2 linked regions of the Cricetulus griseus genome follow. The protein of the gene in region 2 purifies or fractionates together with the protein of the main gene of each other region. This does not show direct contact. Links are inferred from orthologs where the notes say so. Each region holds a gene or a part of one and is shown on either strand. Other genes may lie near its edges. The genes, in order: Magi1 and Rapgef2.

Evidence for each region.
Region 1: the proteins of Rapgef2 (region 2) and Magi1 purify together in Homo sapiens (co-immunoprecipitation; 3 studies listed by BioGRID and IntAct, with this or other methods). This does not show direct contact. The link is inferred for Cricetulus griseus from reciprocal best matches to the Homo sapiens genes RAPGEF2 and MAGI1.

What each region holds. Positions count from the first base shown.
Region 1 is NC_048601.1:50,147,758-50,151,576, reverse strand, and holds part of Magi1 (membrane-associated guanylate kinase, WW and PDZ domain-containing protein 1), read right to left. Parts: intron 2,128-3,819; coding exon of another isoform or gene 2,039-2,127; intron 372-2,038; coding exon 1-371. UniProt on the Homo sapiens protein: Plays a role in coupling actin fibers to cell junctions in endothelial cells, via its interaction with AMOTL2 and CDH5. May regulate acid-induced ASIC3 currents by modulating its expression at the cell surface.
Region 2 is NW_023276806.1:75,177,598-75,181,416, reverse strand, and holds part of Rapgef2 (rap guanine nucleotide exchange factor 2), read right to left. Parts: intron 3,193-3,819; coding exon 2,981-3,192; intron 2,896-2,980; coding exon 2,772-2,895; intron 2,218-2,771; coding exon 2,194-2,217; intron 1,166-2,193; coding exon 942-1,165; intron 1-941. UniProt on the Homo sapiens protein: Functions as a guanine nucleotide exchange factor (GEF), which activates Rap and Ras family of small GTPases by exchanging bound GDP for free GTP in a cAMP-dependent manner.

The sequences.
Region 1 (3,819 bases), on a different chromosome or scaffold from region 2:
GGTGTCGGCACTGCGGGTGCCTTCCCTGTGCTTCTCCGGGGACCTCTTCTTGGGGCCATTGGTGGCTGTCCGCTCCGGCTGTGCGTCTCTCCATGCATCGGGTGGCCGGTCTTTGGGCCGGCATGCCCCACTGTCGGATTTTCTAGAAGTTCCATTCCAGGTGTGGTGTTCGTTGGGTTGTTTGCTATGCTCCCTATTGCCTTTTGGATCCTTCACGTGTGCCCGCTTTTCCCCATGTTGTGATGATTTGTGAAGATCGGGTGGGTAACTGGACTCCAAGGCTGGATGCGGTCTGCGGTCAGGCGGCCCGGGCCTCACTTCCGGAACACCTTGTGCACCGGTGGAGGGTCCGTTCCGGTCGCTGCTGGGGTCTGCCAGGAAGAGAAATAGGACAACAGTTTAACATGAAGGTCCTGTGGCTCCTGGCCCTGGTTCCCTCCCACACTTGACTCATTAGTCACAAAAAACAAACAACTGTTAAAGCAGATTCCAAGCCAACTGAATCTTGGTTAATTTAAATATTACTGCAACTAGTAAAGATTAAAAACTAGCAGTATGGCTTTCAACATCTAGCTGACTATTCCCCGTACCCTGAAGACAGGCCATTATAATGGAAGGGTCTATCTAGAGGTATCTGAACTATGGTACCCTGACCCACACCTATTCTTTCTTGGCCACCCATCAGCCCTTCCCCGTTCCCCCCCAATACCATTTTATTTGTGAATACTTGTTCTGCTTAAAATTAACCTAGGACACAGACTTGGATGGGCATGAGGAAAGCTTTCTGGGGGTTAGAAATAGTCGCTGGCATATTTGAGTGGTGATCTAACAAGAAGCAGGGCAACTGGCTGAGGATCTGCATGTCATACAAAAAAACCATACTTCTACTTTTAAAAAGTGATTCAGAGTAGGGGGTTATCTAGGCTTGAAGGTCCATTAAACTACTTCTTTTACATTTAATTATTTTCTCTACTTTCAAGTAAATTTTTTAAAAAAGGAACTGTATTAAAAAAAAGCTTTCTGCCAGATAAAAGTGAGAGGGATGGGTTATTAGGTGCTTGAGATGAGCTGGGATTTACAAAATCTCTACATTTAAAAGCACCTTTCTTTATGGTGTGAGAAGCAACCATAACAATATGCAAGAGCTGTGGGGCCATGGGACTGCTCCTTAGCTCACTCAGGCATCTACAGATCTAAAGGCTGGACAGCCCATGGCAAGTCCCATTCATCATTAAACTATCTGAACTGACACTACAGCCATTTAAGGCAGCATCTTGAATTTATGAGAGCCTTTGCAAAGTGGGATGTTCTGTTGCAATGATAAACCCATCAAGTTTTAGGTGCCCAAGCTGCTGAGCTGCAACATGGGATACTGGGTTTTATCAACACCTTCCACAGAGACAGCCAGGACAGCAGGAACCAGACGGTCTGTCTAATGAAAGATCTCTCCAAACCCAGGATGAGTTCAACAGAGGGAGAGCTAGAGCCTAGAGCATGAGTCCTCACAGTCTTGGTTCTTCTTACTGGAGAGGGGGTCTGCTATCACTTATTTTGGGTCAGCAATCCCTCTTTAACTTGACCACTGTGGTGCAAAAACATTTTTTAAAAATGGGTGTGCTATATGCCAGTAAGACCTTATTTACAAAACTGGCTTTAACCAGGATTTGGTTCACAGGCTGGAGTCTGCTGAGAGATACCTCAACCAGGAAATGTCCTCTTCCTGTGCAGCAAAGCCTTACCCACCAGGGGAGAGCTCCATGATGAGCCCCATTCTCTCTAAATGCTAAGTGTGCTACTGGGACAAAGACAAAGGCATTCCACATTTGGGGGAGAGAAGCTGTCAATCTAACCTATGATCTTATTCTATTCTTGAGACAAGGGAGAGCAACACTTCAACAGGGTTAGCCATGTACTTACAATTCAAAGAACGCAGGGTGCTCAGAATGAATTGCCAAACATATCAAAATAGAGCTAAGCAGAAGCAATGAGGAAATTAGGCCACAGCACAGAAACACCTAGTATTGATTTAGCTACAAACCGTAGTTTGATTATGGCCCATAAGGTAGAAGCAAGCCTCCCCGAGCTTTTCATTTCTCATACATGCAGCGATATTAGGAGGTATCATCGCTGTAGAAGGGAGAGCCCAGCACCAAGAACAGTCAGAGAGAAGGAGAAAGAGAGAAAGAGAAAAAGTTGAACATTTAGATTCCCTATAACAAGAAAGAAAGAAAAAAAATCTTCATTTGTTAACATAGGGCAAAGAGAGTTTATTTGTCCAGTCAGTCTAAGGCAACACCCAAGGCTGCAGAGACCGTAATTGGAACAGTGATGATTTTAGATAGCTGTTAGATGACTTGAAAACCAGATGATGATGCATCCTTTTGTTTTTTTTTTTTTTTTTGTTTGTTTTTGTGATTTTTTTTTTCAAACAACTGGAACAATGACAGGCTGGCATAGGAGAGCATTAACAATAAACAACAAAAGAACAAGGTCCCCACCCACCACCCCAATACCGCGGCAGTTAAATTAAGTACAAAAAACTCATTACAAAAATAGCCTCACAGAGAAGCAGGTTCCAGTCAAGTCAGAAAAATATTGGAACTTAACATATTATAACCCATTTGTAACTCTAATCAATAGAATTAGAGAGATTTAGTCCAAATGACGCATGGAAACATTACAGTAGCACAACCCTGGCATGTTCAACCCTTTGTGGGAAACCATGTATTTCAATGATCTTTATTTTTAGCCCAAGGAACATTTGTTAGTGTTGGATTTTCATCCTCAGTGCAACAGACATAGGTTTGGAGAAGATACACAGGTTACTGACGATGACTCTCAAATGAGATCACATCCAACAGAAGCATAGGGAAGACAGAAAAGGGAGACATGTTACACAGTTTCAGTGGTATCAATAAACCTAATGGTCAGAGAAGTTAAGCACAGTGTGCAGCCATGGCACCTGATGTCGTCATTAAGGTTCCCTCTGATTGGACACCCACCCTCCCCCTTACCTCAGACCCCTCCCATTGTGCACCCGTTCCAATGTTCAACACCTGGGAAGGCTGCCCTTCGAAGGAGCCACTCTCCTCCTTGAACTATGTCTGAAATTGAGCTTCTCACTGAGCCCAAAATGCATCGGGGAATTGTGCAGAAAGACCTTCAGAAACGAGGGTGATAACAGATAAATCCCGAATAAAGGGGACCAATGTATATGGGGATCTTTCAATCACAGTTTCTATAGAAACTTTTGTAGACCTTTGGTTGGGAAAAAAAGCCCTACATCTAGGGCATAGCTTCCTTTTTTTTTTTTTTTTTTTTTTTTTTGCTTTTTAAATTTTAAACAAGAATCTCAAATAAATAGGACATAATTATCACAATATACACTATTTTGCCATCAGAACACTAACCTAGGCAAAGAGCATTGCTGTCTACTCAAACTATGATTAAGATACGACAGAGGAACTCTACGTATCACCTGGCTTTCCTCATAGGAAAGGTATAGTAACAGGTTTCCCTCATGATGGGCACTGGGAATCTATTTCATCCTTTTTTAAAGACATATGGCTAATAGATCAACATTTGTTTGTTGTTCTTTTGATAGTGTGGGCTCAGGTGGTCTGGCTTGGGGTAAAGACCAGTTGAGAGGGACAGAGAACTGTTGTATACAGAGTCTAAACAAAGTGAGCAAAGCCCCCCAATAGCTCAGAATTTCACACCTCTGCAGTAAAGTAACAACAAAAACAAAACAAAACAACAAACAAAACAGAGCAAAACAAACAAAGAAACAAGCCCAATTAGATATTGTGCCTCAACACC
Region 2 (3,819 bases):
TGGGACCTTTATAGTGTTGTGGGTATGGATGTGCACTGAGTGTGTGCCTAGAACCTGCAGAGGCCAGAAAAGGGCACTGGAGACCCCGAAACTGGAGTTTTTGATGGTTATGAGCTACCATATATTCTGGGGAATTGAACATAGTCCTCTGCAAGAACTATGAGTGCTCCTCAACCACTAAGCCATCTCTCCAGTCCTATGCCCTGGTAGATTGGATCATGTGATCTTCTCAAATTATCATTCACACATTTTTAATTAGCAAGAAGATATAATTCAAATTTGCCCCAAAGTTCCCAAAGTGTCCGAAAGGCAAAATGCTTAAACCTTATCATATAGAGACAGACACAAAGGAAAGTGTCCACACAGACTGGCCACATTTTTATTATTCATTTTGACAGTCACATGTCACTATGTTGTCCAGGCTGTCAACTGAAACCCTGAACTCACGTGATCCTCCAACCTTAGCCACCTCAGAGGCTGGAACTGTAGACGTGTGCCACAGCCTGGCCAGTTATTTCAAGGTTGGGAACCTACACATTGGGCTCAGATGTGGTGTGTTGCATACCAGGATCACTGCTTTCAGGGGCAGGTGCTGGTTGTCTGAGTTTAGGGAGACCCAGAGCCAGCACATCCTGACCTGATGATCCCTAACCAGGCTTCCCGTCATTTTAGGAGTTCCTCTGTGAGAAAAAAAGGCATGCAGCTGGAACCACAATCACCTCCATGTCCCTCGCTTGTGGTGCTGGCTGTGTCAGATGAAATCAAGGCAAGGAGATATGAGCCCAGTGTCCCCTTGCTGCACTAACTTAATGACACCAAGACCCAGTCAAGCACAAGCACGGTATATCTCAGGACCACCGTGTGCCTCTTTGCTCGAAGACCCCTTTCGCCACCACCATCATACACAGAACAATCTGCAGTTGATCTGGGGAGGTACTCACAAGTGCTGGTTGCTGGCTCACACTGCAGTGACAGTGTCTGAAGACTCTCCTCATCCATCTCCAGCTCCAAGTTGGACAGATACTGCTTCACTTTCCGGGCCATTTGGGCATCTTCATATAGCTTTTTGGCATTGAGGAAGGAACTACGGCGTACCCGCTTTTTATGTCCGCCTGTCTGAGCAACATCCAACACTGTGGCATTCGCACTGCCCTGGCTCAGCGACCTGGAAGATGAAAAATAAGAATGCAACTCTCTGGAGCATGGTATTGGATGATCTACCAGACTTGTGTAAAGACTCTATGCTTGAAAGGTCACATGCCCCATTCCAGTAAGTAAACTGATACAGGGGAATGCAGAATAACAGAGATTACACAAGATTTGGTTAAAAAAGGAATTATACATAATACATATACACAAATATGCCTGGCAAATGTTCTGCTCCTACCAGCAAATTCTTTTCATCTCACAGAGCATTCAAAGTCCGTTCTCTCACAGAAGCCAGAAAACATAATTGCATATAAAAGCTTGTGCAAGGACACTGAATGATCCTAGTGACAATTAACAAAATTATATTTGCTTCTCCTAATGGGGGCATTTTATATGGACTTAATTAAACTCAGCTACACTGTTCACAATTGCGTTGTTACTCTGTGGGTTGAATGTACAAGTTTTAAAAACAGTCAATCTGTTAATACAACTGTCATGCAAACATAAACATATGTATGGAAACTAGTATATGAATTGTTAAAAATTATTTTTTAAATGGGGCTGATTTACATAGAATGAAAATAGTAGTTAGTTGAGCTGTAGAAAATTTGGTTTTAGGGAGTGGGGGTGCCTAACACCACCACATTCACTTCTGGATCTGTGCAATCGTGTTTTTAGTTGCACGATTTCTTCCTTCTAAAAGCATGCTTCCCTTCCCCACTTCTTTGGCTTTTTCATTTCAAAACACACAAATTATATTAAAATATAATCTTTCTGACAGCCAAGAAATATTTCTGGTCTACATTTTCCCAGAATAATCAATCATTTTCCAGAATAATCATCAATCATTTCACAGCTCTTATGGACCTGACTTCAGCAAAGCCCCAACAGATTAAATCTGAAGTCAGTTTGCATCTGAAATTCTGATAGAGCAAGAGGGTTAAGAAAAAAAAAAAAAAAGCAAAGCATCAGAAAACAGAGCAGATAAGAAAACAATGCAACAGGCTGAGCAAGAACCAAGTGTGCAAATGCTCTGCCACTTACCCCAAACTCCGCCACTTCTTCTTCCTGCAAGTGAGAGCCACGGAGATTGAAGCATGGGTGTAGAAAGAGACAGAAAGATCACAAGCTCAGAAAGAAAGGACCAGACTTTTGGACAAGCAGTTCTAGAAGCCCACAAACATTAACTGCATAGTCACCTCACACGCATCCACTACAAAACATCTCTCTGGCTTAAAAGGCTGCTGCCTACACTTTTGTTCATTCCCTCCACTGAACTAATCATTGCTTTTTACAGTCAGATAAACACACTGTATGGACATTATGATGTTCATACTACCGATTACAAGTTCTAACTCTGCGACTCAGTGTTCTGGAAAATAAGAAGTAAATTCTTGCACCTAACATTCAATTAAAACTCTCTGAAGGACAAGCTGTTTGCACTACTATCATGTGTGCCCTGGGTGAAAATGAGAGACATCATTACAAATTGAACCTTGGGGGTGATTCTCTCAGCACATCCTAATGTAACTCCTGAAGTTAAGTATTCAGATTTTCCTACCATGGGCAAGCTCACTCTAACTATTCTAACCCAAAAATGCCATGGCCAACAACTCACGCACCGAGTCCTGAACATAAGGGCAGGGTCCATGTTGACTGAGGCCATTCGGCCTACATGACGGATTTCTTTTGCAATCATCCTTAGTTTCTCAAAGTTGACCAATCCGTCTACTTTAGAGTCATTTCCTGAGGTTAAGGGAGGAGGAAGAAGAAGTCACACAGGGTTCATTCTGTGATCCCACCTGAACAGAGAGAGCCCACCTGTACTCACCTTCATGGAGGAATGTGAGGTCCTTCTTGATGACGGGGAAGAGGGGGATTACAGGAGGTTGTAAGTTCTGGCCACTCAGGACGTTTCGGTATTTTGCCATGTTTCTGGAAGGATCAAATAGGTCTTGTAGGTCCTGGAATAGCTTTTCATATTTATTGGGAAGTTTTTCCCAGGTAGTTCTCAGTCTTGCCACTGGTGCCAAGTTTAGGCCGCTAAATGGGGAGAGAAAAAGAGTGAGATATGATTAAATGACCCCTCTCAAACAAAGGAAGACATATAGCAAAGCACCTATGTGTGTGAACTTTCCATGCATGGAGATTCATAGAATGCTTAAGATCATCATGCCATACCTGCCTGGGTAGTGAGTGGCAGTTAAAAGCAGGGTCAGAACCAAACCATTTGCCTTTATAATTCTTCTCTTTATGCTATCTTAACATTTTTTATATTCATCCATCCATCCATTCATTCATTCATTCATGTGCCTGTGTGTGTGTGTGGGGGGGGGGGTCGGGTCCCTGCAAGCATGTAAAGGTGAGAGGACAGCTTGCAGAAGTCAGGTCTCCCCCTTCTAACATGTGGGTCCAGGGAATAGAATCAGGTGACCAGGGTTGGCAGCTGGCACCTCTTTGTCAGCTGGCCCTTCTGTTTTGTTTATTTTCCTTTGAGACAGGGTCTTGCTTGTAGCCCTGGCTGGATGACTGACTAGGTTGGCCTCAGACACAGAGATCTGCCCAACTCTGCCTCCTGAAGTATGGGGATTATTACCACAGCCAGCCAGCAGGCTCTTCTCTATGCTCTCTTGATCTGTTTACTCTCTGCTATAGTATGGATATGAACTG